Struthio camelus: one gene and its partners. The protein of the gene in region 3 binds, or shares a complex with, the protein of the main gene of each other region. Links are inferred from orthologs where the notes say so. Each region holds a gene or a part of one and is shown on either strand. Other genes may lie near its edges.

What was found.
Region 1: DRC7 (region 3) and IQCG share a complex: the UniProt entries of both Homo sapiens proteins name them as parts of the nexin-dynein regulatory complex. The link is inferred for Struthio camelus from reciprocal best matches to the Homo sapiens genes DRC7 and DRC9.
Region 2: DRC7 (region 3) and DRC1 share a complex: the UniProt entries of both Homo sapiens proteins name them as parts of the nexin-dynein regulatory complex. The link is inferred for Struthio camelus from reciprocal best matches to the Homo sapiens genes DRC7 and DRC1.
Region 4: DRC7 (region 3) and IQCD share a complex: the UniProt entries of both Homo sapiens proteins name them as parts of the nexin-dynein regulatory complex. The link is inferred for Struthio camelus from reciprocal best matches to the Homo sapiens genes DRC7 and DRC10.

The regions. Positions count from the first base shown.
Region 1 is NC_090950.1:21,486,630-21,494,496, reverse strand, and holds the start of IQCG (dynein regulatory complex protein 9), read left to right. Parts: upstream 1-4,854; 5' UTR 4,855-4,869; coding exon 4,870-4,901; exon of another isoform or gene 4,902-5,142; intron 5,143-7,867. Other genes in the region: RPL35A (large ribosomal subunit protein eL33), read right to left, coding at 620-643, 1,546-1,690, 2,771-2,923, 4,073-4,114, 4,587-4,816. UniProt on the Homo sapiens protein: Component of the nexin-dynein regulatory complex (N-DRC), a key regulator of ciliary/flagellar motility which maintains the alignment and integrity of the distal axoneme and regulates microtubule sliding in motile axonemes.
Region 2 is NC_090944.1:8,795,388-8,802,457, forward strand, and holds the start of DRC1 (dynein regulatory complex protein 1), read left to right. Parts: upstream 1-4,051; 5' UTR 4,052-4,077; coding exon 4,078-4,238; intron 4,239-6,536; coding exon 6,537-6,642; intron 6,643-7,070. UniProt on the Homo sapiens protein: Component of the nexin-dynein regulatory complex (N-DRC) a key regulator of ciliary/flagellar motility which maintains the alignment and integrity of the distal axoneme and regulates microtubule sliding in motile axonemes.
Region 3 is NC_090951.1:30,152,064-30,159,467, forward strand, and holds the start of DRC7 (dynein regulatory complex subunit 7), read left to right. Parts: upstream 1-4,397; 5' UTR 4,398-4,475; intron 4,476-4,641; exon of another isoform or gene 4,642-4,645; coding exon of another isoform or gene 4,646-4,687; exon of another isoform or gene 4,688-4,929; intron 4,930-5,489; 5' UTR 5,490-5,507; coding exon 5,508-5,644; intron 5,645-6,121; coding exon 6,122-6,296; intron 6,297-7,186; coding exon 7,187-7,312; intron 7,313-7,404. Other genes in the region: uromodulin, read right to left, coding at 210-377, 899-965, 4,646-4,687. UniProt on the Homo sapiens protein: Component of the nexin-dynein regulatory complex (N-DRC) a key regulator of ciliary/flagellar motility which maintains the alignment and integrity of the distal axoneme and regulates microtubule sliding in motile axonemes.
Region 4 is NC_090958.1:4,675,149-4,682,567, reverse strand, and holds the start of IQCD (dynein regulatory complex protein 10), read left to right. Parts: upstream 1-4,402; 5' UTR 4,403-4,478; intron 4,479-4,819; exon of another isoform or gene 4,820-5,319; intron 5,320-5,526; 5' UTR 5,527-5,668; coding exon 5,669-6,361; intron 6,362-7,419. UniProt on the Homo sapiens protein: Component of the nexin-dynein regulatory complex (N-DRC), a key regulator of ciliary/flagellar motility which maintains the alignment and integrity of the distal axoneme and regulates microtubule sliding in motile axonemes.

The DNA of each region.
Region 1 (7,867 bases), on a different chromosome or scaffold from region 3:
TAAACTTGTGCACTATGGAGTTGCATGTGATAAAAACTGAGACAGGTATGTAACTAAATTAAACAGAGCAGATGTTAATAACATGCACAATGCCCAGGATATCTGCAGTCTCATTCTTTGTAATCCTACTAAAACAACTATTTTTAGGTGAGCGCTAAAAGGATTTACACCTGCTAGGATTTAAATCTCTATTACATATACCACTTTTATCTCAACAGCAGTCTTTGCCTAACACAAGGGAAACAGGAATTTAGGAGGTTTCCCTCCACTAGGTAGGCAAGGAAATATTTCTTATTTTCTACTTGTGTGCAGTCTACAAAGTTGTAAACATTTATTGTTCGGCTTTGTAAATCACTCAGATTCCATGATGGGAGGCAGAGACAGGTCACAGTAAAGGCTGCTAGTTATTTGTCTCCAGGATGTAGTCCGCTCCATGAGTAGCTAGCCAAGGATAGATCAAATCTCCATTTTAAACACCTAGTTCAGACTCACTACTGCATCACTGTGCTGTGGATTCTGATACACTACCCAAAAAAAAATTCTTCAGAACAGTTAGAGGGGATAAAAACACAAGTGTACAAAAATGAAACAGATTCCACATTTTATTTCCAATAAAAATTTAGATCCTAGATGGATACAGCATCTGTAAAAAACAAACAGAATCATGTTAGAAATCTTGTTACTGCACTGTACTGTTTCAAACAAATCTTGCAGTTGCATTCTACAATCATGGATCCCCAACTACTACAAAAACAGGCCCCAATTTTCACAGAAGAGGTGCAAGAATAAAAAAAAGCCTAGCAATTGGTTCAAAGACTTGAAGTATCACTTTGCTGGCAGAGAGGCTCCCTCCCCATGCAGCCAGCCCTTCCATTCACTGAGAGGAGGAGATGCTCATGAGCCTACTTTCAGGCTTTAACCATGCTGTTCCTACCACGCTTTTTGTAAGGCACAGGAAAAACATGAAAAGTAAGGATCGCATCTTTCTGACGCTCCTCTTGACAGTATCACTAGCAAGATCCTGCATGAAAAGCCTGGGTGATGGCCCAAAAGGGAAAGTTTCACTGAAGCCTTGTGACCAAACAAATTGTTGAACAGGTCCTACTGCCGCAAGACTGCGGAGCCCTCAGTGAAAGTGTTTGCAAGAGAAAAGGAAAACTGATGTCATAGCTCCCTTGCCAATGGTAGGAAATGGAGAATAGGAAGCATATAAAAAGAACACGCACAAGATTTAGGGAAGAGGAATCAAAATGGCTTTAGAAAGGAGTTGAGGAAGAATTTAGGAACTTAAAAAGCCTTTGCAGTCAACTTGAATAAGCATACAAACCCCTCAACAATGAGACCAGTCCTCTCAACACAAGAAGCCAGTGCTAAACCTCTTCTAGCTCCAAAAGGAGCACTTACCACAGGGCCATGTTGAACACACAGTAGTAACAGAACGAAGTCATATGTATATTCCAAGCTCTCCCTCGTACTCTGGGAGATTAAAACACATCCCAAAAACACTATCAAAAAACATCTTGTTGCTAAAATATATCCACTTACCACTCGGATTCTGTGTCCAATGGCCTTGGCAGGAAGGTTGGAACGGAACTTAGCACGAACCATGCCACTGTTCCCATGGGCGCGGGTTACCTTCCCCCAAATCACTCGTGTCCTGTTGGGCTTACCACCGGGGGTTACAGTGTTGCTAAAGAAACAGCGAAAAAAAATTCTGAGCATCTCAGTCTTGACTCTGCGCAAGACTGACCAGTGATGGGACAGACAACGTAGCCTCTTTAAGGCACTTCCATAATTGTATTCCAGTCATTTTTAATTGGATCAACTTCCACTTTCATGTGCCCTTGGAAACTGTTACGGCTGTAATTTCCACTACGCCCTCCACATGGAGGGAATATCGTGGCTAGTAATTTATCAGCAGCTCCACTGCAGAGCTACTAATGAGACATAACCTTAAGATGATGAAAAAAAAAAAATCACTGGATGTTAAGATAATCAACATGAAAACTCATAAGCTGTTACTACAAAAAAAAAGTAACATGTTCTAAGATTTCTCCAGATACACCAAAGGGCAAGAGCGGCCTAAGGCACCGGGATAGACTGCGAAAATTGCTTTAAAAAAAAAAAAAGGCATAAACCACCTTGGAAACGAAGATCAACACGCAAATAGCCTGACCAATTTTATTCAGTGCAACTCTGAACTCTTGCATCTAGCTCTCACAATTACACACTAAGTAGAAAGGCATAAGCAACTACTCTAAGGCCTCCACCAACACCAGTATAGCAGAAGTGACATTGCTCTGACACAGGCACGCAAAAGCAGCTCAGGATTCAAACTCCTTCAGGCTGCACTCCAGGCTTCATGTAATGTTCTTCGGCCATTTAAATAATTGAAATGTCATAGTGATCAACACCAATTCAGCTAACTCCAATATACTGCATTATCAGCTTGCCTTCAGCTCTGCTAGCCTCAGAAGCAAAATTTGTTATCCCACTTGTTAATATAGTGTTTCTAAGAGCAAAGCTATTCCCATATAAATACACGATCTGAATTAACAACACAAAGGTCACTTAAAGCAGACACATCCTGAAAAACTTTAAACTGAGACCAACCAAGGAAACTACTCTACAAAACACTCCACGGACAGCCTGTTGACAAGCTCAGCTCAACTTATTTTTGTCACAACAAGAAGTGACTGATCACATCCCAGCCTTTGCAAAAGCTGATATAGGAGTTTCTAATTTAGCACAACAACGAAAAGTTACTTACTTTTTAGCTTTGTACACGTAGGCACATCTTTTGCCCAAGTAAAACTCTGTTTCCTGCCGGGCATAAACCCCCTCAATTTTCAGAAGGGCAGTGTGCTCCCTCTGGTTTCGGAGGCCACGTTTGTAGCCAGCAAAAATGGCCTTGGACCACAACCTAAAAACATTGATAAATGATAAATCACTCCAAGGTATTAGATGCAAAAAACAAATAATGTTCTGTTTCAGAAGGAACTATTTTTACACCAGGAGAAGTTTAGTTGATGAAAAAATAAAGTTTCGTTTATATAGATTTCTACAAACCCTTACAGCCAGTCAACGGAGAAAAGTACCTGGAGCCTGAAGCATTTAAGAACTCTATAACTTTCTTTGTTATAAACTTCTCTTTCTACTACAGCCTTCATACCAAGAGCAAAGCCTTTCAATATTAGCATATGTTATATTTTCAAACATTTGCAAACTGTTTTTGGCATGGGTAAACGTTACTGTTTTCAATACATCACACTAACGTGACAGTCTCCTGTGCTGTACTAACTGCTATAGGAGAAGATATTAACTGTTGTCCATCGTAACACAACTTTGCAGCCTCAAAGGAATTAACTGCAGTCTCTGGGGACAGTCACTCCGTCCACATCCAATGGACAAATTACATTATACTATCACCCCAACAATTTTTCATGACAAAGACCTGTTTGTCCCACCCACTTCAAGCAATTACATGGCTGATTCTATATATCACATAGAAAATATAACTAGTCTCAACTGCATATGCCAACTGGCCCATAATATTACAACGTCAAACTGACTTATCTAGTTTTATCTCCCGTATGTGCATAAGATAAACCCAAGCATATCAAAACAAGACACTGTAATTCAGTTTTCATTTTTCTGGCACATGCAGTATTAACACTCCCTACGTCCATTAAAAAATTGTGGTGTCACAGTACCTCTCTTACTTAAGAAAACAGTATGGGAAAACCTGTACTGTACACTGCAGGCTCTTAAACACCGTGATAACTGAAACCACACTAATGTTCAGCATCAAAAGCCAGGCACTGGAAAGCCTGGCACATCATATGAACAATTACAACCAGTTTAAGGTAGTGGAGACACAACCATAGGTGTTTAACAAAGCAGGCACAGCACAGCGTCAGACAGAGAACTTGTCCAGAAAAAGGGGCAGCCACAGGAAACACGAATCACTGTTTGACGGTACACACTCGGGAATACTCCGTTTACAAGACCACCTGCCAAAAGTGCGGCTGTCACAGCGAGCCGAGACCCCGTATCGGGGCAGGTCACTCACCTCCCGCTCATGGCGTCCTCCTGAAGCCCTGGTCCAGCAGGCCTAGAAACGACACAATGAGCCATGAGCGCCTCGGGCCGACAGCTCACCCGGCAGCCCCTGCCTGCCGGCCGGGCGGCAGCCGCCTCGGCCTGCTCCGCCGGGCCCGGGACACCCGGCCGCCACAGCCGGCGGGCCGGGGCCGCCCACACCACGGCCGGCGACAGCGGCAGAGCGGCCGCCAACCTCCCCACGACGGGTGCTGCCGCCCGCGGGCCGCCAAGGCCGCCTGCTCCCCCCCCCCCCCGAACGGGACGGGACGGCCCGAACGCCTCGCCCCCCCTCAGCTGCGGGCTCCCAACGGCACCCGGGACCATCCGCCACGCATCGGCGCCATCCCGCCCGCCGCCGCCTCCGCTCGGCGCCAGCCGCAGCGCCCCGAGTGCCCCGCGCCCGCCGGCAGCCCCATGGCTTGGGGGGGGGGGAGGGGGGGGGAAGCGGCCCCCTCAGCCCCGCGCCGCCGCTCCCGCCTCACCCCCGCGGCGCCGAGCCAAGATGGCGGCGAAAGAGAGAACAGCCGCGCGGCCTGCCGGGATATGGGCCGGCGTGGACCCCCCTCCCCCCGTGGGTGGCCACGGTGCCGCCTGGGTGGAGAAAGCTAAGACGCCGCAAGTGGTAACAAAGCCCCAGGCGGCCCCTCCTCAGCCCAACGCTCGCTTTCCCCTTGCTCCCACGGGCCGAAATGCGGGGGGGGGGGGCTCTCATCCGGCCTTGCAGGCACCCACAGGGGCAGCCCCAAAAGGTCCCCGGCGGTCACCATGGAGACGGACGCCGCGGGCGCGAAGCCCCGGTGAGCGGCGGGCCGGGCCGAGGGGGCCGTCACCGCCGCGCCGGGCCGGGCCGGGGGCCATCTCGGCGTCCGCTGTACCCGCCTGTCACCTTGCTGGCGGGGAACCGCCACGCCTGTGAAGTCTCACGTTGCGGTGTTTTACCGAATAAGAGCAGACGTGAGCGCGTACTTACCTGTTTCCGCGCGTCGGCGTCGTTCCCGGCTGCTTTCTGCCGCTTCCCTCGCAGGGCCAGGCATTCAGGTGCGTCTACAGAGCGCTTTAAGGGATGCGGGAACCTAATTCCCGTTTCAAATGTACCCTCGCCACCCTGCCTTGCATTGCAACTTTGCTCCGAAGTGTCTTAAACTGCACCTGAGCCTGTGCCCTCCGTGCTTGTATGACGCAGTTAACCTTGGTAACTAAACCTGGTGTCATCTCGTCACCTCGTCAGCCGGGCTCTGAGGGCTCCAACCTGGGCTGAGGAAGTGGATCCTGATCCCGTGAGAAAACTGAGTCTGTCTGCACTTTGCTGGGCCAGGGTAGCAGCACGCCATGCCTTGTGAGCGTGCATAAGCAGGGATCTTTCTTAGACAGATAAAATGGCTGGGGAGGAGGAGCGGAGAGGGGAGGGGGTGTTTTGACTCTCCCAATTCCTGTGTTGGCTTCTGCTTGAAGGAAGAGGCAGCAAGCCCAGTAATGCTCGGTGACCTACTTACTAGGAGCAAAGAGCCTGCTAGGAACCTCTCTGGTCAGAGAAAGGACACGATCCCTGCTTCGAGGGGAACAAACCAACTGTCCAAACACTCACTTTTCCAACAGTACTGATGCCACAACCAATAAATGTTCCCTAACTCTGGTCTTCTCCTGTCCCATACAGATTAAGTCCCATAATAGAGCTAAGAGTAGCACCACGTCTTTTATTCTTTGCACTTAGTTCTAGCGTCTCATCGGTACAGTCTCAGAGAGCAGGAGCTGAAAATGTTTTTCTACAGTCGGAACAAAGCCTGGATGGCATCTCAAAGCCAAAACCAAGATTACTTTAATTTATCAAGTTTTATTTTCTCTTTTTTCAAACGAGCAACTTATTTTCTAACATTTGTAGTAGTAGAGTTTAGTAAGACCACAGCGGCTTTGCTCGCCTAATAGACGTTGTTCTAGAAAAGCTAAGATATGCTGTATGGTCCAGTTCTGCCACTGTGGGAACTCAGAGGTTTCACTTTGACAGTATGTTTGCAAAACAGAGCTAAAGGAGATGTGACATTCTCAGCTTTGAATTTTCTCAGTGGAATTCATCCGTATTGCTACTTCTTAACTGACTAAAGAGGATGCTGCAGAAATGCTGCCTAAAAGCCTACTGTCTTTGCAGCCTTTTCAGTTTATCAGGCAGCAGGATGGGAGAAATGTACATGCAGGGCTCTCACACAGCAGAGGGAGTTACAATTCCCCAAGGAAGGAACAGTAGGCCAGACTTTTTATACAGTTGTTTTTAAAATTATTTCTTGATATGTTTTTCTTTTTCTTTAGAACAGCAGGGAAAGAATGTCAGCCTAAACTCTTGGGGGAAGCTCAGTCTTCCACATACCTCTTTTTCGTTAATAGAGTTTAACGAAGGAGTTGAGCAAAGTACAGTGATTTAGGTCAATGTCAGTGACTGAATCAGGATGGTCTGTGGGCACTGCATTCATGCTAAAATCTAGTGAGAGCAGCTCACTATTTGCAGTGTTTCTAAATGCCCCAGACAGTGGTTTCCTTCTCACTTCCAAGTCAACATAAGCCCAGGCAGAGCTTACTGGCTTGGCACAAGCATCTGCTGAGTATACGGATATAAGAGGAAATATATAGGAGGAGCAAATAGGAGGCTTTAAAGAAACATTACATTCCAGCTGTGTGATTTCTTAAAACACATAAATATCTTGAGTTAATTCTCTCCTGGACAGAAGTTGCTGATGGGGTACAGGAAAAGCCATTGCATCCTCCGCTGTTTCCAAATAAGTCACTTTTTCCTATGAGAGCTGCAAGTGTTATTTCTTCTTTCAAAAATGTTGTTGTAATCATTTGTCACAGCTCTCTCAAGAAATCTGTTTTCTCCAAATTTTTATCATTCGGGCTGAACATGTAAGAGACTATTCTCATGTTGTTTAGACCTGAAATATCATGATTTCTTTTTAAAAAAAGGTAAAACAAATTTACATAACAATTAACTAGTGCCTGTTAACTGTAAAGAGACTGTCTGACTTTCTCTGTGTAAAAATACTTAACTCAGATGAACTTGCATCTCCATTTCTACTATTAATGCCAAGTGTGAAAAGAAAAGTGACGTTTATTACTGTTATACAGATTATTAGCTACCTTTAGTTAATCATTTTATCAGATTCCTATCTCAAGCTGTAGCACATTTCTTATAATCCAGAGAAAGGAGAGAAAAAAATCTCAGAAGCAAAGGGAGGAAATCACTTCCTAAGTTAAAGGTCACAATCAAAAGCCCTAAAGAGTGAGATTAGTTATTTAAATAAATATAAGTAGTACAGGAAGGATAGTAAGCCTATTGAAAGTATTTGGAATCACTCCTTTGCTGTTACCTTTTCTGCCATGGTTTTAGCAAGGTTCTTAAAATAGTTTAGGGTGCCTCTGCCATTATCTTGATCTTTCTGAAAGTTAGAAACCTCATCGTAACTGCCTGGCTAAGTGTATTCATGAGGAAATCATACTCCTTTGACCTTGTAACAGTATTATCTTTTAACTTAAATAGCTCTGTCCCTCCCTAGTATCTGCCCTTCAAATATATTTACAGAGAGTAATCACACTCCTCAAGTCGTTTAACCTCTTGTAAAACAGATTCTCCGTTCCTCCAATCACCCCACTAGTCTTCCTCTGTCTCTGCATGTTTTTGAACACAAATGACTAGAAACACGCGCAGTGCCTTATCTGAGTTTAGTGGTGTCTTATACAGTGGCACTGATATTTCTTCCTATCTGCTGAAAATACC
Region 2 (7,070 bases), on a different chromosome or scaffold from region 3:
TTTTCTCCCCTGGCACAGCCGTTCCCGTTTGGAGGAAGATGCCTGGCACCTCCCTCAGCCGCCTTATCCTGCTGGGGCAGGCTTATCCCGTGCCTCCAAAGACATACACTGCTGCTGCAAAGCATGTGAGGAGGACAAAGCTTTGGAAGAGTTCCTGGCCAACCAGTGCTGCTGGAATGGGTGCCTGATGACTGAGAAGCTCTCAACACAGAGCACAGGCACTTCCCAAGAAAGATGCCCTGCGACACAGGAGTCACCAGTCCAGAGGGAGCTGTCTGTGCTGCCACGAGCTCCAAGACCCTCAGGGACCTGCATTCCCATCGCCAATGTGGAAGAGCTTGCCAGATGCCTCAGGAGGTCCCTTGACACCACCCAAATTGCTGTCAATCTGCTCGGCAAGCTGATGAGCAGAAAAATGGCGCGTGAGACTCCCCTTCTGTGCAGAGACGTGATGGAGGAATACCCCGTCTGCCTGCAGTGCTGCTGGTGCCTCACTAACAGCTGCCCACACCACAACCGGCCCACAGCCGCCCAGGACATGGCCATGCTGGCTGCTTTCCTCCTCTTCGTGAACATGGAGATTGAGGGAACGAACATCCAGGTCCAACTGGGGCTGGGCTTTGAGCTGACAATCAACAGGAAGGCAGTGTACAAATGGGAAATAACACAGAAGCTCCCACAAATGGCCGGCTCCAGGAGAGGTTGCAAGCAGCGAGGTGTTTCTCTGCACGGCAGCTCATCGGACAGCAAGGGCTTGTGGCTGTCATCTCTGTCACAGGCAGCAGCCCCGCTCACAGAGGCACAGGGGACACAGGAGGGACAGAAGCCACGAGGGGGAAGGCTCAAGGGCCAGGCTGGGTGGAAGGAAAGGGCTCCTCCTGCAAAGCAGGCATCCACGTGCTCTGTCTCCACCAGCACGACAGACCTGCAGAGAGCTGGGCAGAGGGGGTCTTCTCCATCACCAACCCCCACGGTGCCCTTGCCCCCATGGGCACAGCCACCCTCCCGTGCTGCTCTCACCAGGCTCCGGAGAGCTGCCTGTAAGCCTGTGCCTTTCACTGACTACAAGTGCGTGGGGCAGGGCAGAAACATGCAGCGCCTGCAGAGATGGTGGAGCGGGCTGCGGAGCAGGGTGGACAGACGCGTCCGGAGGAAGCCGGGCTGGCTTCCAGGAGCAGAGAGCTCAGCACCCACAGGCACCGCTGGAGCAGAGCAGCAGCACCAGCTGCGTGCTCGTGAGGCTGAAATCCATGCGCTCTTCAACGCCATGGTCATGGACGTGTAAGCAATGCTTGTAATAAAAGTACATGTGGGAACTTATGGGTGAGGAGCCTGATCTTTCTTGACCAAACCTTGAAGTGAATTCCCTTGACCCACTCCCAGCCGTTCCCCCAAGATTTCACCTTCTCCCACTCTCCTACCCGTAGGCCTAAAAATCATCCCCACATCAATGTCTTGGGGACCTGACCACAATCACTATTATAACATGGAGGATGAGGGATGCCCACGTCTCACAATGACCCCGAGGTCGTCCTTGACTGGCGAAATCGGCTCTGCCCTTCAGAGCCATTGGCCAGAGCGAGGGTCTTTGGACCCTGAATGTTGATGCTCCTGCTTCCCTCAGCATCAGACCTCATTGCTACCCGCCATCCACCAGTTCTTGGTGTGACTGCCGTGCAGGGCTTCCCTGACTCCGCATGTGCGGTGCCAGTCTTGCTGAGCAACATGGCGGGACCAGAGCAGCATGAGCCCAAGGGGCATATTGCCATGCGCCATGAGACAAAGCACTGCTGGGAGATGGATCTGCATGCCCAGAGTCCCCCCCCGCCTACCACTGCCAGCTTCACGACCCATGCACAACATAAAACAATGCTCGGACAGAGAGACACACCACCCCCACCAACCAATCGAAAATTCAGGGCTCCTGCCCCATACCAGCACTGGGGATGGTGTTAGACCCCAGTTCAGCCTGTGCCTTCACACCATAGCCTATCCTCCCTCTCCCAATCCAGCACCACCCAGGCATGGTTACTGCAGCCAAGGTTACCCCCAGCCTTCACGTCTCCAACCAGCCCTTCCTTGTTTGTAAGTATGAGGTCCTCTCCTCATTGGCTCCTCTATCACCTGTATCAGGAAGTCCCTAAATCATCTGTGTGGCCCTTCCAAAGGCCTTGAACAAGCCTGACTCCCTTCCCCAACACCCTTTGCCTTTCAGTTACATATGGCTCCTGTCCCACCCAGCCCACTTAAGAGCAGAGAGCACACACAACCAGTACACCTGCTTAAAACCCAAGCTGAGCTTCTCCCAGTGGCAAGAGAGAGACACAAGAGGGACACAGGGAAGGGAGACCAGAACAAGGGGGACAGAGCACAGAACAGGACAGGACATCCTTGGGGGACGGGGCAAAGCACACTGCCCAGGCCCGGTCAAGGTTGAGTTCCTGGTGCAGATGGAGCCACCACAACTTCTGCAAATCTCAGAGGTGGCATGGCTGTGCTGGGCTGGGGAACCTGGTCCTCTGGCTCTGGGATGAGAGAGCTGAGGTGACGAGGTGTTATGGAAACAGTTTGACTGTAGGTTTCCGAGGAGCAGAGTCTCATGCACGTATTGCAGCAAAATTAATTATTTATTTAAATGACAGTACAGCATAGCAACAGCTCGAGTTGGTGCCTCCGGAGAGGCACCCCGAACAAAGCAATTCTGGGGTAATTATACCCTTTACAGTTTGATTTCCCTGCCTGTCAGTGAAGGTCTCCTCCAATCTTCTTTACTGAGTCTGTGGTCCCTCTCCTTCTGATTGGCGTCTCTCTTCTTCTGTCTGGTCTTGGCCTTCATCCCAGGCTGGTTGCTATGTCCTTGTTTCCCACAGTCTCTTATCTTCTTGAAGGTCAACCACAACCCAGGTGCATCCTATCTTGTCTCCAGCATTCTACTTTGTGACCTCATTAGCTAGTTTTGTATCTTTATTAGCTAGTTTGAATTGGTTGTACAGTTACATCCTCAGCAATGTTACATCATCAGCAATGTTTGTGAGTTCATTGACAGTTTGGCCTTGAGGCCTGCAGGCTTCATCTACTTTAGGCACTTATGCTAAGCAAGAGTCAGACTTATGCTGAACTGAAGCTAAGTCAGCTACAATTTCCTTCTCTAACACAGGGATGAGGCTGACATGATCACACCTGGCTGCCTTGGGACTGCAGAACAACCCCTTCTCCTCCACTGCCAGCACCTGGTGCTCACCAGGACAAGGAGGGAAGGATGCCGGCTGTGAAGCACAGAGGAAGAAAGCTCCTGGCTTCAGCAGGCCCAAGTATTGCCCTGGCTTTTTGGACACCACTGAGCAGCCTGGCACAGCGGGCACCACGTCCGCAGGAGGGGACCCTCGCGGGGTGAAACCTGCTGCTCTGAGGACAGCGCGCTCTCCTCGGGGTAGGGACACCGAGGAAAATGTTCATGGGAATGTCCTGGCTGGGGGTCCCAATGCAGCCCAGGACACAGGGCTGGCTTTCCCTCACCCTTTTTCTCCTGCTATCCTCTCACACATACTCTCAAACTTTTTTCTTCCCCACGCAACCATCCCCACTGCCTATTCTGTGCTTGGCCTTGGCCTGTCAGCGCTGAGGCACAGCTTGCGTGAGGGCTCCCCTTGCCCGGAGCAGACTCAAACTTGTCCCTGCCCCGCCCACAACTGTCAGCGGTCGGTGACACGGTGACTCCCGTGACACGGGACACCAGTGAAGTGTCACTGCAGTGTCGCATTTCCTTAGCACCAGCCCCCGCGCCTACCGCCCTCCCGCCCCGACCCCTCAGCGCGGCCACCCGTGAGGCAGCCGTTGCCGCAGCGCGCATGCGCGTTGGCGGCCCCTGCGTTGCCGGGCGACGTGCGTGCGCAGTGGCAGCGTGACCGCGTAACGCGGGGCCGCGTGAGCCGCGGCGCGGGATGGGGGGGAGAGACTGAGATGCGCATGCGCGGTGGCGGCGTTGCCATGCGACGGGGGCAGCGCTAACGGCGGCGCGGACGGGGAGGCGGCAGCGCGCATGCGCGGTGGCCGCGTTGCCGTGCGACGTGGGGCCGCATGAGCCGCGGTGAGGGCGCGGAGGCGGCGGCGCCATGGTGGCGGCGGCGGCGGCGGGACCTGGGCCCGGGCTCGGGCCCGGCCCTCAGCGCCCCCGGGCCCGAGGAGCGCATTGCGGCGCGTCGCCGCCGCATCGCTGCTCGCCTCGAGGCCAAGCGCCGGTGAGAAACTGGCGAACCGGGTCCCGGCCTGCCCCCCCCCACCCGCCATTCCCATCCTTGGTGCGGGACCTTCTACCTCCTCCTGGCTCCGGCTCGGGCCCTTCCGGAGCGCCACTGTGTCCAGGCCTCCCCCCAGAACCGGCAGCGGGCGGGAACTGACCCCCCCCACCCCATACTGGGGCCAGGGGCTGCCCCCTTTAACCGGCACCGGGTCCCAGACCCCCCCCGCCCGTACCGGCGCCCTGCTCACTCTGGCAAACCAATGCTGGGTCAAAAATGCATCCTGCCGAACCAGCCCTTCCCAAACTGGCGCCGGGGGCAGACCCCTCTCAGACCCACACCAGCCCCCCCAAACCGACGTGGGTGACCTCCTCCCTGTGACTGGCACCAGATCGGGGCCTCACCCTACAACCCCCACACTGGCACCCAGTCCTCAACCCCCGTCAGCCAGAACCGACACCCAGTCAGGGACCATCCACCCCAAACAGATACGAGGTCATTGACCTGCCACCCTCCTCTCCCCTTCCCCAAAACCTGTACTGGACTGAGGACCCCCACCCCGAACTAGTACTGGGTTGGGGACGACCCCACTTCAAACCAGTACTGGGTCAGGGACCTGCACATGCTAACCTTCACTGGATCTAGGACCTTCCCCCTGCTTCTGGCACTGGGTCAGAGACTGCCCTGAATCCAGAACCAGCACCAGGTCAGAGACATTCCCTGCTCCCTGACAGATGTCGCTGGGTGGCGGACCACCCTGCTTCCCAAACCAGCCCCAAGTCAAGGACATCTCCTGTCCCTGCTAAATGACCCCAGGACAGGGACCACCATGCTTCCTGAGCCACCATTAGGTCAGGGACCACCCCCCATCCTGAACCAGCACCAGCTTGAGGACATGCCCTGCCACATGGCACCAGATCAGGGACCACCTCCTATCCCAAACCAGTACCAGGCTAGAGACGCCTGCAGCCTGGACACAGACCTGGTCAGCGCTCCTCACTCGCTGCCAGACCAAGTCCGGGTTAATATCTTGTGCCTCAGGAGGGGCCTGTGGCCTCCCTTCCTGTGCCCAGCTACCCCTGTGATACCCCTGCCCCAGAATTTCCCCCTGCCAGTGACCCTCTGCCCTTTGGAACGAATTGGTACCAAGCCAGTAGCCTCCTGGATCAGGCCCCAGTCAGTGACATCCCCATCCTTCCCCAAACTGGGATCTGCCAGCAATGGAGCAAACCTTCCCCTAAATACAGGCTGAACTGGGATCCTTCCCTGAACTGTAGCTGTCCCCCCAGGCAGGGGGGGACAGAACCAGCAACAGGCAGTGCCTGCCACCCTCTCCTGAACCGAGGCTGGTTCAGGGGCTCCATCTTTCCCCAGCCCAGGCTTGGCACAGGCTTGGGGACCTCCCTAGGACAAGACCTCCTGGAGCAACTCCCCCTTCCTCCCTGCCAAACTGGGGCTGGGCAATGCCACCCCCTCCAGAGCCCATGCTAGTCTGACTGAGTCCTGGCCAGTACCACCAAACTGGGCCAGTAACCACCATCTCTAGCCCAAACTGGACTGAACCAGAACATGATATGTAGCATAGATGCCTGCTGACCCTACCCCCCCCAGGCTGAGCCTGGGTCAGTAACACCCTTCCCACCCTGAACAGGCTCGTTCTCCCAGAGCCTTCCTTTTAGGTTGGACTGTGGAATTAGAATGAGGTCAGTGCCACCCCCTCACCCAGCCCTGAAGTGGATCCAGAGACCCTGGCTGAGCCAAGCTCCCCCACAGTGACAAAAGGACTCCCTCAGATGCAACCTTTTCAGCCCCTGACCTCTTTCTCTGGGAAGCAAACCCTTGGGCTCAGACCCCCAGGGCTGTGCTGCAGGCACTAACCAGACCTAGGCTCTGCTTCAAGCTCCAGAAAGGGAGGGCCAGGACGAGTTTTCCCTCAGGCAGGTTGGTCCACACTTGCCTCCCTCCTTTCCACATCTTGGAGGGCCTCCTACCCTGGGGCTAGACCTGCTGGGGGAGGAGAGAGCAAAGTGTGTTTGGTGGAGCTTTTAACAGCATCACCTTTCCTTTTTACTTTGTGAAAAAAATGGGGCCCTCTCACCTTGCGAATAAGATCTGAGATCTGGCACCCAGGATCTGACATGAAACCCATGAGGTCAGATCTTTGCTCCAAACATTGCTATGGTGAACTCAACAGTCTGCGCTGGGATCCACACACAGAGCTGTGGGCCTTTCGGTGCTGGGAAGGTGATCTTGTGCCAAATGTTCTATCCCTTTCCCCTTTTGCTTCTCTCTGCCCAGGGAGGCCCTTGGAGAAGATACTGAGGCAAAGACAGCTGAGGAAGAGGAGGAGGAGGAGGAGAAGGAGCAGAGAAGAAGCCACAAGCAGATTGAGGAGAGCAGGCAGGTGCGGCAGTGAAATAGGAAAGTCCTCTCAGGTCCTTGGCCTGTAGACTTTTGACTTTGCTCTCCTTTTAGTTTAGTGTCACACAGCAGCGTTTATGTGGGAAGAAGCAGTGATACAAACTCTTCAGGACTGGATGGGTTGTGATTCTTGGGCAAGACTCCAAGGATGTAATTTCCCTCTAACAGTCTGCCCATCAATCAGAGGGATCTAGGACTGGTGGTGGCACATCCAAACCCAAATCCTGTCATGCTCAGCCCCATCCATGTTCGCAGGGAAAGAAAAACTAATTTGTGCTCTGAGCAAGGGACCATTTCTCTTGGTGCTGATGGCCCGCAGGGCTCTCCAGATGATGATCTGTGGGTGCATTGAGGTCCTTCCAGTGCACATCAAACCCTGCTGTAGCATGGGAAGAGGGGGCTGATGGGTCC
Region 3 (7,404 bases):
GGCTCATACCAGCCTGCAGTCAGGACATGGTGGGGAGGCACGCACCTGGACCAGAAGCCAGATTGTGCTCATGGGGCTCTCAGTGGAGACATAGGCCCTCGTTGACTAGGAACAGTGATAACACCAGTGCATCCTCCCCTCCACTCTTCCCTTTGGTGCTTGTGGACAGACTGGGAATGGCTCACTGGCATCCCCAGCCCCTACCTTACCTTGGCAGAATGCCCCTCTGAAGCCTGGTTTGCAGTTGCAGATCGATCTGTCCTCCAACACCTGGCAGTCCCCCTGGTGCTGGCATGGGTTTGGTAGGCAGGCATTCAGGTTTCTCTTCAGGCGGATAGCAAACTGTTCCCTTCTGCCTTTTGGGCTCATCAGTTCAGCTATAGCAAAAGCAATATGAGGAAGTTGAAATGCAGCAAGAATATTTACCCTACAAGATGCACTAGAGTGAACTCCCCCTGCAGTGTGATTCCCCCTGCCCAGCTCACAAGGGCTGAGATACCTGCTTCTAGCCACAACAGGGTCACATTGCCACTGTGCTATTACATCTGAGGAAGAACCTCCCACCTCAGCTTGCCCAGAAGGATGTTTGTGTGACTGAGAACTTGGCAGACCCTTTTAAGCACAGCTGAATTCCCTTGTCTGTAATCTGGGCAGTGCCTGTGCCCATCTCCATGGATTTTAGGCTATGTATGGCTGGGATGGAGTGCCTGAGGCGTCTGCTTATTTTGCTTTGGCTTCCCAGTTCCTGCCCTCCAGAGCATCACTTTGTTGTCCCCCTTTAGCAGCTTCAGTGGTGTCCTGAACGAGCAACCCAGACACAGATCAGGTAAGGATTTGACCTCTTCTTTCCACACTACTTGGCTGTAACCCAGCAGGGACAATAAACAGGACGACTCACTCTTGTTGCCTTCAGAGACAGCCAGACAGAGGGTAGGAAGCAGCAGCAAATATGTCACAGTCCCATACTGTAAAAAGAAGCAGGTTGCTCAGTTTTCTAGCATGCTCGCTGGAGATGATGTTAATCATTCAGAAAGAGCCAACCCTCAAGCATACTATATTTCTGTACTATATTTCCTGTAATAACTACAAGTTCAATGGCATAAAGCCATTTCCTACGCGCAAGAGCCAGGAAAACCCCTTTGGAAATCAGGTGGCAAAACCCCTCATTCAGTCCACTAGGCTAAGATAAGGTCCAAATATTGTCCTGAATTTAGATGGTGTAGAGCTGAACCCTGAAGGGCTATGTCAGAAAGAAGGGTTGGGAGAAACCAGATCTCAGGTTAGCACATCCCTGCTGACAATGTTAAAGCTGTATTTCAGTACAAAACAGCACTTTGAGTAAAACCACACAGTGGAGGCATAAATCCAGGCTCCCAAAAGAGGAAATGAGTTTTCTACTCTCCTCACCACTGCCATAGCTCTCTCTTGAAGTTTAGAATTTGCAAGAGGATCCTTGCCTTTCCAGTCACCCTTTTTCAGAACAAGGGAGACAATGGGATTAAAACAAAAAGCCTTGAACACAACCAAAATGTATGCTATAAAACCTATAGCTCACCTCTATCTTGCTCACAGATAAAGTCAATGAAGTCTCACTCCCTCCCCCAGCAAATCTCCCCTGCTAGGTCAGATAACAGGTTTCTTTAGAGAAATTAACACTGTGGTGCTGGATGAGCCCTCGAAACTGGAGTGTCCTTATCAGAAACATGGATATGAGTCAGCTTGGGCTGGTGGCTAGAGCAATGCTCCGATCTGCCTTTGTCCTGCACTTTGCATGCGCGCTTAAAGTAGGGCAAAGTAAAGAGCAAAACCTCCATCCCCATCTGGCAGCAAACTGTATATTCCCACAGCCTATATGAAGCAGCTGCAAACACCAAAAATCTAGGCAAGGAGGATTTATTCCCAGCTTTGCTCCTTAGTCATTGCAGCAAAGCTACCTGCTTTGCAAAGCTCTTGAGACCCAAAACACCAGGTAGAAGCACCTGTCTCAGCAGGGCATTACTCCCAAAGCACAGTCCCTGAAGACTGATTCCAACTGCCAGGAAGGTTGTGCAGCTGGGGGTGCTCCAGCCTGGCCCTGGCTGCCTCTGCACAGGCGGGAAGGACTGGGCAAAGAGCCCCCCTGTGATGGGATCATGACCCCTTTCATCTCCAGCTCGGCATGATGATCTGGACAGATTTAGGAAGCTCTGTCTGCCTTTTTAAGGAGACAGGAGTTGCTGCCTACTTGCAAATTGCTTTCTAGGAAAAGAAATCTGTGACTTCATGAGTAGTGATCCTGAGAGATCCCACCAACATCCTCAACAGAAAGATTTCATCTGTTGTCATTCTACTCACCATTGCCAGGCCAATCTAAGCTCATCCACCCACAACTGCCCACGGGTCCTTCTCGTTCTCCCTGCCGCGCGCCTTATATCACCTTCCAGCAGCTCATCCTGCTCCCCCACGCAAACACGCTTTCTCAGCGATTGCACAAGAGCCGCCCTAGCATCCTTCAGCAGCAGCTGGGAAGGAAAGAGCTCTCCAAATGTTCATCCTTGTGCACAGACCTTCCTCTTAGCTCAGAGCTTGTGAATGCTCAGCCAATTTATGGCCCCGGTAGGATGCCACATAGAAGTGTTTGCAATATCCTCGAGAGTCTAGGTTTTTATGCATCCAAATGTTTTTGTGGAACCTGTTTTGCACTCAGCAATAACAATAGATCCCAGAGCCCCACAGAAGAACGCCAAATAACTGTGTACTAAACGCACATGGCTTAGCAAGCACATGTACGTTTGCTTTGGCTGTTTTTTAATGACTTCTGAAATGTAAGATCTGGTGAGAAATACTGTGAGGGACAGAGGGATAAGGGCTTACTCCTACCATTCTTCATGTTTATTTGGGAAATAACAACCTGCAAGGAACAGCAGCCACTCAAATAAACGATTCATGATGTTTTATATGAACTAGGATACTGCTGGACATAGCAAACATATTCAAATGAAAATAATTCAAAACAGCCTAACTGCAACTTTGCCCATATTCTCACCATTTTTATTGCATGGCTTGCTATATTCTGTGCACCCTTAGAGTTTTAATTGCTACAGTCAGTCCAATAGAACACCAGCTACAAAAATATAGCCAGCTAGATGCATTTTGTTTTCCTAACCACAATGAAAACCAGAAAACAAAACTGTTTAGAACCTGACCCAACTGAGAGCCTAATGAACTAATAATTAAAAACAAAACAAAAGCCTCCTGCAAGTCCCTGTTGCCAGATTTGGGGTGAGACACTCTGCTTTGCATTACACATTTTACAAAGGAATTAACCAGCAGTGATGCTTGTGTTTAATAACTTAGTGATGCAAAGGTAGCGCAGCCTGCAGGCTTAGAAAGCAGCAAAGAAAAAGGATGACGATTTTTGGTTTTTTTTAAAAAGCAAAGAGTAAAACTCATGAGGTTAAAGGCGGCCCCATCATTTCAGAGGACCTGATGGCAAAGCAGTACTGAGCTGGTATGGTTGGGTTGGGGCTGTTTGCTCACTTGCCCAGGGGTCCGTGCACCCTGGTGCTGCTGAGGAGCATGTCCTCAATGCTTTCCGCCTGTTCCCAACTCGTTTCGCACAAACATTTGCCAGAGGCGGGGGGGAACGACAGCATGCCAAAGGAAACCCACCTTCTGCCCAAACGACGAGGCGAGGAAGGGGGCAAGAGCCGCGTGCCCAGCGGCTGGGAGACGCTTGGGCGGGCGGCAGGTCGGCGGCAGGGTGGCCGGTGGCTGGGGGCGGCCGAGCCCAGGGAGCCCTGAGGAGGCCTCAGAGCCGGGGGTGGCCAGCCCGGGGCTGCGGGTGGCCGGTGGCCCAGCCGGTGGTGGCCCAGCTGGGGCTGCGGGTGGCCGGCAGCCCGCCTGGGGGCAGCTGGTGGTGGCCCGCCTGGGGCCGTGGGTGGCCGGTGGTGGCCCGCCTGGGGCCGTGGGTGGCCGGCAGCCCGCTGGGGGCAGCTGGTGGTGGCCCGCCTGGGGCCGTGGGTGGCCGGCAGCCCGCTGGGGGCAGCTGGTGGTGGCCCGCCTGGGGCCGTGGGTGGCCGGCGGCCCGCCTGGGGGCAGCTGGTGGTGGCCCGCCTGGGGCCGTGGGTGGCCGGCGGCCCGCCTGGGGGCAGCTGGTGGTGGCCCGCCTGGGGCCGTGGGTGGCCGGTGGCCTGGCCGGTGGTGGCCCGCCTGGGGCCGTGGGTGGCCGGCAGCCCGCCTGGGGGCAGCTGGTGGTGGCCCGCCTGGGGCCGTGGGTGGCCGGCAGCCCGCCTGGGGGCAGCTGGTGGTGGCCCGCCTGGGGCCGTGGGTGGCCGGCAGCCCGCCTGGGGGCAGCTGGTGGTGGCCCGCCTGGGGCCGTGGGTGGCCGGTGGCCTGGCCGGTGGTGGCCCGGGGCCTGCTGGGGCGGCAGCGCCAAGGGCAGCTCTGCGGCGCACGCGGGCCGGTTGCCATGGAGCGCCGGGAGCAGCGGGAGGGTGAGGCGGCGGTGGCGGCCGGGGCTGGGGGCGCAGGCCCCGCGGGGCAGCGGGCGGGGGCCGGTGAGGTGGCCGTGACGCTCGGGTCCCCCCGGTCAACCCCTCCGTCCTTGCGGGCCCCGCGGGGCTGCCGTCCCACCGCCCCCTCCCTGCATGCCAGGCATACTTGCCACCCGAGCACGGCCTGATAAAGACAAGGTCTGCGTCTCCATTTTCAGGCGCTATCTCCTCCGCGCTGGGGTCAGTTTGACCGCAAGAAGGGAGGGGAAAAAACAACCCCAGCCCCCTCCTCAACCCTCAAACTCCCTGCAATATATAGTGCTGTCCTTGGGCTGTGGCTCTTCTCTGTTTATTTTGCTGCAAAAACTCCTCGTCCCTTAAGGCCCCCGCAGAGCGCTGGGCTGCCAGCCCGGCCTAGCACAGCCCAGCAGCGAGCAGGACCAGCCGGGCCCAGGTGCTTGGCTGATTTTCAGAGCCCCTTGCCACCCGGCAGCACCTCCCTGGAGTGGGGGATACAGTGAGGTCTGAGACTGCAACCTGGGGATGTGTGATGCCCCACCGAGCAAGGCTCTCCGTTTTCTCCTGGACAGGAGGCCAGGGGTGAATAGCCCTCCTCCTCCCTTGGCCAGGGTGGCCTGGGAACATGCAGAATTATCATAGTAAAGGTAAAAGAGGTCAAGCGTTTTGGAAGGCATCAGAGCCCCTGGTGGCACGACTTCTCTGAAGCAGCTGGCAATGGTGCCAGCTGGAGGCAAGGCCTGGGTGAAAGGGTCCTGAGCCTGATGCTGCCACCTGATTTCCAAAGCAACACCTCTCAGCCATGTATTCACTGGGCCAAGTCCAAATTCAAATTCAGCATTCGTCCTTTTGTGTCGCAGAAATAGGAACTGCGCTTCTGGATGCCTCAGCCATGCTCACACACTACATCATTCAGCCCAGACTGTGGGAGTGTTTCTGCATTACTGTATATCTGATCCCACTCCCAAACTCACCCTGCTCTGTACTCTTCTCTAGTGCCGAGGAGGAGGCAGGATGGAGGTCCTAAAAGAGAATGAGGAAGAGGAGCAGAGAGAGGAAGAAGAGCTGAAAGCTTTGGAGATCAGTGATAAACAGCATGATGTGGAGAGGAAGTTGTCTGTAGACCAAGCCTGCACACCAAATGATGTACCGTAAGTTGCATGTGTTTTTCCCTTATTGTGATGAGCAAGGGATGTCCCTTTGCAGTCTGTGGGGAGGGGAACATTTCTGGGGGCCTGCACATGTGTGAATGGCATGTGTGGTCCCCATGTGCAGGGATGTGCATGTTTCTGTGTGCCTGGTATCCCAAATGTGTTTGTCCAGAAGTGGGCACATGAGTGAGTAAGAAGATAACACAGTTTTTTTTCAACTGTTCACTGCTCTATCAAGACATTATATACCAATCTCCCCGAGCCTCTAGGTCTATATCAGTTCACCATCACTCCAGGGAAGCTTGGCTATGTCAAAATTGATGCCTTCCTACTTCAAATTCTGCTTCTTTGCCTATGATTCCCCACTTTTCCCTGGGAAACAGGAAGTCTCGGCTGCATTTACACAGCGGCTCATTCTGCCTGAATCGTTCTCTGCTTGTTACCTGTGTCTCTCTCTGTCTCCTCCTGCCCTTGAAGCGATTTTGACTGGAGTTCCATTGACACGTCCGAGTTACCATCTTCCTACAAGACAAATTCCTCAAAGGAAAAGAAGCTGCTACGCATTGCCGACAACTTCCTTCAGCAGTACGCTCACCTCTGCCCCGACCGCGAGCCGCTTCTCCTTCACCCAGTCAATGAGTGTGGTGTGGAGGTACGGGATGGTGGAAGGCTGGGCCACAGCACATGGGGCAATCAGCTTCCATTAGTACCGAGCAGTGGGTAAGGACAGCAGCCCTATCTGCCCTCCCTCCTGGCCAAAGGGAATGGAAACCCACTCACTGCACACACGTGAGTGAGACACACAGCACCCCAGTAATACCCTAGCTGTCCATATCCACCAACCCATCTGATCACTGACACAGCAGCGGTGTACACGCAGGCCTCATGCAGCTAACAGCCCTGCAACACGACATGTGGGAAACAGGAAAGACAACAGAAACATAAAGAAGGAAAGTAAAAGAAACATGTGAAATATATGAGTTTCTACCCAGACTCAGGCTCAGAGCTATGGAATTTGGATCCAGATTTAGGTCGTATTCCAAGGTTCCCAGAATTTATTCAGGATAGATTTACACGTGGAGGTTTGTGGTTTGAATTTGTAATAGAACTGGGCCCAAGCTGCACAGCTGCTGTCTAGTTCTGGATCTGATACTCCCCCAAGCATGCTACTTTGGATCAACTTCCCCCAACATTTGTATCAATGTCATGCAAAGCAAAAAATGCCAGAGGGTGTAGAAGCTGGAAAGAGCAGTAGCTGTTTGTCTTACTTGAAAACGAAGAGCAGAAATCTCTCGCATCTGTAATGTGACTGAGATGAGTTTGAATATTTAGCCGCAGACAAACAGAAATGTCCTTTAGCAGATGGCCTCTCAAAGCCAAGCGTTTTCCATCTCAGAATGCGTGTGGAGGGCTAACGATGCTGTTGATATGCTCTAGGGACGTCCTGAATGTGAGCTGCATCATCCAGGGGTGGTCTAAGGATAGCTTTGGAGAGGGGACAGGAATCTGCTAGCTAACCAAAGTCTTCTTGTTGCCCTACAGAAGTTTGTGAGCACAACGGTGAGACCAACCCTCCTGCCTTATACAGAGCTGTACCACTGGGAAGGCTGTGCCAGCTTTGTCTCTGATTACCTCACCATGGAGCCCCTCAAGTCCCCTATCGCACCAGTAAGAAAGGGCTGCAGTTCCATCAGAAACAGCCCCATGGCCAAGGCAACAGTAGCCAGACACCATGTAGACACTCCAGGGCCACGGCTTAC
Region 4 (7,419 bases), on a different chromosome or scaffold from region 3:
GCTCAGCCTGTTTTGCTGTCTTGCTCTGTGTGAACAAGCAGCTGTAACGCTTCATACCAGTGGTGTTCCTTAGTGCGGTGGGTCTCATTTTCTCTGTGCAACCCCAAACTGCTCTGGGCCCTTATGCATGGAGGTCACCACAGAAATAGGAACTATTAACCTGAAAGTGGTGTTTGCGAAGCCCTGTCATGCGCTAGCTAACCTGCATTCAACCCATTAGCTGGCAAGGGATGTGGAAGGAATGCAGGTCAAAGACAATTCTGCATATAACAAGAGTGATGAAATGTTCTCTCTCCCTCCCCCAATAAATGGAAAATAAGCACTAGGAAAGGGACACAATACTGTTATTTTTAATGATGTTCCCAGAGCCTCACCAGAGTGTTTCTAACAGGTTCCTGGGGGCAAGAGGAAGTTCAGGTCACTCCCACCTGCTCACAACACAGATGAAGAGCATGCCCTTGGCAATGACTCATAGCAAGACACGGGAACTAGTAAAAACAAGCGAGAGCTGCAGCAGGGTGCAGCGGTCAGGGATCAGGCAGTCCCGCAGATTCCCTAGGGCCTGTTTTGGTGCCAAAGCTCCATGTTCCCAGCAGTGCATCATGCAAGGCTCAGCACACCACAGCAATGAGTGCAACTGGCTCCTGCCAGGGCATCCTGAGGATGCAGCTCCTCACGCGGTGTCTGTTGTGGTGATACCCCAGGTTGCTGGTGGTGGCAGCCTGTGAAGTGCTCTCAGCCCTCCAAACGCAGTCCACTTCGGCTCAGCAGTATAGCTCGGTGCTGAGAGCACGATGGGAGTTCACGGCTTCAGAGCTGGTGTGCAGAAGAGCAGAAGATGCTCTCAGTGAACAAGTTCTGCCTCCCCGCAGCTGCATTCTGGCTACAGCCAACACAAAGTTAGTGGCAGGGACCTGCAGTCAGGGCCAAGAAGAGAGGGGACTGTCCCTACAGTAACACTGGGCCTGGGTACGATAACCTTGCAGCCTGGCATCTTCGTGTGCCTCTGCTCTTTTGCTGTCGTTTCACAATCAGTTTTAACTGGTGCAATATACTCCCCTCCCTGCTGTTCCTTCCGTTGACCCACATATGGATGGGTGGTAGCACAAGGCAAGGAACTGATTTGGATAAACCCAAATTGCAGAGGATCACAGCTTTCCACGCTGATCAGCAGAGCCTGCTTGCTCACACATGCCGAACCTTGCCTTCTCTTTGCCACAATGGAGAAGGATGAGCCAATTACTGCCTTTCAGTGAGTAGTTAAAAATTCTGCGTCTGAAGAGTGGTTCAAATGGGGAGGTGAAAAGGCAGACGGGGCCAAGCAGGCCTTTGATGTTCAGCTGTTTAGTTACAAGGGATATACAGAGACCTTTGCATCTGAACACAGCTGGACTTGAACAGTGGGGGACAGCATGCCTGGGCTGTACCCACACGCAGAGCCTCTCAGCTCCCCCTTTCCTGATCAGGTGTACCCAGCACAGCTCCCTTGCCCATACAGTTCTGATTCCCGAGCACCTTTGGATGTGCTGGAGCTCTGGGTCCTGATGCAGGCTGGGCCGGTTTGTTTGCAGGCTGAATTGTTTCAGGACCGATCTGAGGTTTTTCTACATCCTGGACAAGAGGAAGGGACGACACACAGTTTTGGTGACATTTCGTACAGCTCCCAAAGCAGCCTGGTTTCATTCCTGGCAGAAAAGCTGCTCCCGGCCTGGAGGTGGTACTGGAAGCTGCAGGACGAGTGAGGCTGCTCTGAGCACATGCCATCACCCCCACTGCAGCCTGCAAGTTTGAGATATCTCTAATTAGCATCCAGAAGGGAGTTGCAGTGCTCCATGGGTTTCCCTAGCTAAGAGGAGGTCTGGACGCGACCCACAGGCTCACCCTTTTCTTCCTCTCTCCTCTGTATGTTCCAAAATGCTTCTGTCCCTCCAGGCAGGCCACGTGCATGGGCACGCGGGACTCTCAGCTGACAATTGCTCACAGCAGTTGATCCTGTCTCCAGGTCATGGCTGTAAGGAAGCTGGAGTTTCCACTTCTCCGAGAGCAGTTGCCCATTTCATATGAGGCAATCTGGACTCATCAGCTTTGGAAAGAAAAAGACATTTTTTTCAAGACTGATTTAATTGCCAAAACGTCTACAGGGGAGTGGCAGCCTTTCACTGGGGTCAGGGTTCGCTCCTGAAATCCTTGGCAGGAAAAGAAGCAGCTCTCTATGTCTCCAGGGCTATTTCTCTGTGCTGCGATGACCGCAGTATGCCATTAGGAAAACATCCAATCAGCGGCACACTATCTTTCTGATTTTATGGCCCTGCTGTGCTAAAGCTGTGGGTCTCCTGCTCAGCCAGCACAGCCACGCTGATTTGGAGCTGACATAATCACAAGTGCCAAATTAGGGCACAAGAGAAGGTGCTTCTGGACAGCTCTGTGCTTTTGCTGGAAGCTGAAGACAGACTGTCCCACACACAGAGTTAGAGCTACCACCCCACCCCACAGCTGGCTGGGTGAACCAACTTAGGGTGTTGTGCTGGTGGCTGCAGCATTTTTGACTTGAACCAGACTTACCATTGCACTGAATCCCAGCCGGACCTTCCTCTGAACCTGTGCTGTGCTGAGCCCAGGCACACTAACCAGGGAGCCGTCCCCTGTTTGTGGCTCTGCACTTGCATGGTCCCAGGCAGAGGGAAGGAAGGGATCATGGCAACATTAGCGCCGTTCCTCCTCCTTTGACTTGGTTGCTGGGAGCAGGAGGCAGCTCAGCCACTGCACGAGCAGTCCCTGACCTGTACGTAAGGAACTGCTTCCCAGGGGTGCTTTCCTCCCATCCATCCTCGCAGGGGCCTGGCTTTGAGAGTCTGGCCCTGGTACTCCTACTCCATCTCCCATCACCAGATCCTAGTTTGCGTTGTGCAGGGAATAATAGCCAAGAGATGCGCTGGACCAGTGCTGGGCACAGTCTCCAGCGCTGGGGATTTATTCACTGGCTCAAACAGGCTAAGCCCAGAAATAAGTAAATGTTCTTGTTGACGTGAGCAGACTCTATGCAGCGCCGCAGCAGAGATGCCAGATGATGCTGTCCGTGGGGTCCCACAGCTGCTGTGCCATTGCTTAGCACTTACTCCTTCCTCTTCAGACAGAAACATGTCACTAGGACTAGCGCTGGCTTTGGGCATTTTGCCAAGTTTCCTCCCGGAAACCCAAGCCTTTCTCTCCCCACATGGATGCCTCCTGCTGATCCCTCAGCAGTGTGAGGACAGGACTTGCACTGAGTTTTGATGGGCCAGTATGTTCTCTACAGACGTCGCTAATTCATGGCTAATCAACTAATTGTGCATGTGTGGCATCTGCATCTTAATCAGCAGAAGCCTTCCAGAGTTTATTAGCATTTTAATAGCACTGAATGCAGTGTGATATAAAATTACTTTTCCTTAACAGTACAGTTAGGGTAATTTCTTGGTTGCTGATGGTCTTACATTTAAAATCCCCACAGACTTTATATTCTGCCCAGTCTAATTTTGCTACATGATCTGAATTTCTGTAACCGTGGCCTGACCGATGCGTACGTGCACTCTGCGCCCCTGAAAGATCTTTTTAGCAGCACCACGTCCCTGCTCTGGAGCGGTCTTTCCATCAGGGCCCAGGCAAAGGGTCCGTTTCCAGTGCGGCGGCGGCAGGTGGCTTGCAGCGGTGATGACCTGCTACTCCTGACGTCTTGTTCCTGAGGTCAGTGGCGGCGCTGAGACGTGGCGATGACGGTTACGCAGGAAACCCTTTGAGAGGGGACGGGGATGTGAGCACGGGCTCGCAAAAGTGCTTCCCCTACTTTGCCTTTGCTCTTTTCTGTGTGCGGAGGGCCTAGGAGACTTGAGTCTGGGGAAGGGGGTTACGAAGTTTACTTTTCGGCTTATTTTTCGAGCTCTTAGGAACACGCTGCCTGGTGTCCCGGGGGCCTGGCGGGAAGGCGAGCTGTGAGCCCGGATCTGCTCGCAGAGGACGATGCCAAATCCTTCAGGGAGACTTGCTTTGCCTGGCCTGTTCCCCGCCTGGTAAGCAGCCGTTACAAAAATAAAGCAAGGGCTGACCAGGCTGCGGAAAACCCCCGTTCCCTTTCCACTGATGCACGTTTCTGCCTCCCTCGCCTCTCTGTGTCCGCAGCACCGCTCTTCAGCGCTCCGCGGGGGCGGCCGCCTTCACGCCCCCAGCCCCAGCCAAGATGGCGGCTCCCCGCGCCGCCGCGGCTCGCTCCCGCGGCCCGGCGCCCTCAGGTGGCCTTCTCATTGGACAGTCGCGCTGCCCATCAAGCGCGGGGGAGAACGCTGAGTGGCTCGAGGTGTTGCGGCCCCTGAAGTGGAGCAGGCGCCATAGGCTGTCGGAGGGGACCTGCCCCTCCCCGCCGCGCTCGGTCGCCTAGCAACCCGAGGACTCCGGCGGCGGCCGGGCGGGCCGGGAGCGGCGGTGGCGGCGGGCCGAGCGGAGCCCGGGTAGCGCCCGCAGGGCCCCGGAGACCCCCCGCGCCGGCCCCGGGCCTCCCCTCCCCGGACCCGACCCCGGGCCTCCCCTCCCCCGTCCCGACCCCCCCCCCCGCCATGATACCCCCCGGGGCCTCTGTGCCCCCGACCCCCAAGGCCCTGCAACACACCCCGGGCCTCTGCCCCCCGGGGTCCTTGGGCCCCAGCACCCCCGGGTCCTGACCCCCCAAGATACACCCTGGCCCTTCACATACCTGGGCCTTCACCCCCCCCCCCCCCCGCCTTCCCTCTTCCCCCTTCTCCCTGCCAAGATACACCCTGGTCATCTCTCCCCTCAGGCCTGGACCCCCAACAGGCCTGGACCCACACTTGGGGGACCCCTGGCACCCCACTCCCACAACCCACGCACAGGGGATTCCCCCCCCCCCCCCAAGCTCCCTGAATCTCCCCTTGACCCATGCCCGGGGGATCCCTGGGATCCCCTGGCACTCGTGCCCCCATACACACAGCCAGAGGACCCTTGACTCTCTGTCACCCTCCCACATGCGGCTGCCCTCTGCCCCCTCACTGTCCCTTCCCCTGGCCCTTGTCCTTGCCAGCACAGCCCCTCCAGGCGGGGATCAGCTCTTGCACTTCCTCCCTCCAGCAGCACCAGGCCTGAACTGATGAAGGTGCATGTTTCCCACCAGGAAACCTGCCCTTCCTTCTGAGGTGGCCCTAGAGACCTGCAAGCCCCCCCCCCCCCCCCCCATGCACCTGTAAACATTGTAGAGCTGCAATCGGTGATCTCCATCTCACCTGCTACTTAGAAGGAGCTGGGAGCTTTCTCCTCACCATCCTTCAAAGTAGGGAGGTTATTAGTTTTCTTCCTTTCCCATGGGCGTTCTGGTACATTTGGACGTTTAACAGCATCTCTGGGATAGAGATCACTTCTAATGTAAAACCCCAATGCCCTTATTGTGTGCCTAGACCTAGGGACAACTAGAGTGTAATCTGAAACTCCCACGTTTTCCCAAATAATGTTGTTTCTCTAATGCTCTCACCAAACTTTATTTTAAAGATAAAATCTGAGGAAGAAGAATTTGCCACAGAAGCAGCAGAGGGACCTTGATGTACTTCGACTGAGTCATTCTCTGTGGTCTTACTCTTTGTGTCCCTTCTAGACCTCAGAAGACTCAGCTCAGAATTATTTAACCGAAGCCATGGCAACAGGGAATCCAACTGTGCTCCAAGGATCATCTCGGGACACGAAGCAAAGAAATAAGCCCTTGATAAAAGGCGTTCAAACTCCAAATAAGGAAGTGATCGGATTAGATGCCAAGAAGATGTTAGATCGAAGTCGGTCAAAACTTAATACTCGTGAGACCCAAAGAATCATATCTGTCTTGGATGAGACGATTGTCAAGCTGGAGCTGAGCAGTTTGATCCCTTGTATTATTGACTCTCTGGATAGGTTTGCTGATATGCTGGGCCCTGCGATCACAAATGACCTGATTGAGCACCAAAAGCTTTCAAGCAAAGTGGAGGACCTACTCTCCAGCTTTCAAGAAGAGGACACGTCAAGAGCAGAGGAACAGAGGGACTGTCTTTGCTTGCTAGAGCAACATCTGAAAAGTTCTGTTAGAAATATTCTGAGACGCTTGCTCGCCAACCCTTCACTTTGTCAGGCTCTGAAATATGAAGTCTGTGCAAAGCAGTCATCAGCTGAAGCGTTTATCAAGGCCTTTAGGGAGTTCAGGAATTTCATGCATGAGAGACTGCTGACTAGTCTCTTAGAAGAGAAAGAAAAGATTCAGTTCATGGAAAACATCTCCCGCCGGATTACAAAAAACACTGAAACACTCACAGCTTTAAAGGCAGAACTGGCAGCAACAACCCAGTCTCGAGATGAAAAGGTATGATATTGTGGGAATATGCTTTCTAACAAAGGGTCAATGAGGCAAAATTTTGGTAAACTAGGAAATAATCCTTTTCTTGCAGACCCTAGACAGGAAGTTCCAAAAATGGTTTGTAAACCAGATCCTAAAGTAAAATACACTTACTTCATTTCAAAATATAATTTAAAAGGCTTATTGCATGCTTGATTTTTAAACTTAAATTTCACATGTTTTTATCGTCTTCTCACTGGCAGTTTAAATCACCTTGGAAATCACCGAGTTTAAAAAGGAGATGTAGAACAGGCACAAATTGCTGCAATAGCATTTTGTCATTAATGCAGTAGTATTAAAATGCATTTTTAATATCTACTCAGCCTTCACTCTTGCTTAAAAGCAACATTTCTATGACTTCCAACTCTATAATACTAGCAACCTTAGAACATTTATAATTAATGTGTGATAACATATGTTTATTTTTTGCAAAGAAAGCAACAGAGGTAAACTAATGGACATGCCCAAGACCTTGGGCTGAGCCAGAATTTGAGCCCTGAACTCTTGACAAGCAATTCCTTGTTTTATATGTATGCTTTTTTTTCCCCCTCCTTTCAGCAAGAGGGGTCAGAGAGGAAAGTTCTGCACTGCACTGAATGGTGCTAATGCAGACAAGGGCCTGAATTCTCTCCACTCCCTGGAGATCTGTGAATTGAGACACTTGAGATTGTTATGTGCCATTTGGCAACTTGTCCAGTGCATAATGAATAAACCTGTTTTACTGGTCCCAGATGAGTATTTCTTTTGCAGGCAGCCCACTGAGCTGAGTCCCCAGGACTGTCCCTCTGAGCCTAATGCAAACTTGATGAAGCCAGTGGGCTGTTTCCAGTGGCTCTGACTTTGGATCCTGTTCAGATGGGGCAGCACCTGTGGAAGCTTCCTCAAATTACAGTGCTGGTGGGTCTCAGCATGGCTCATTCAATCTCTGACCTTATTCACAGGTTCACGGAGGAACTGTGAGAGGTTTCCAAAGCATCTTGGAAACTAACTAACTCTGTTCCCTTTGCTAGCTTTGGAGATCTTGT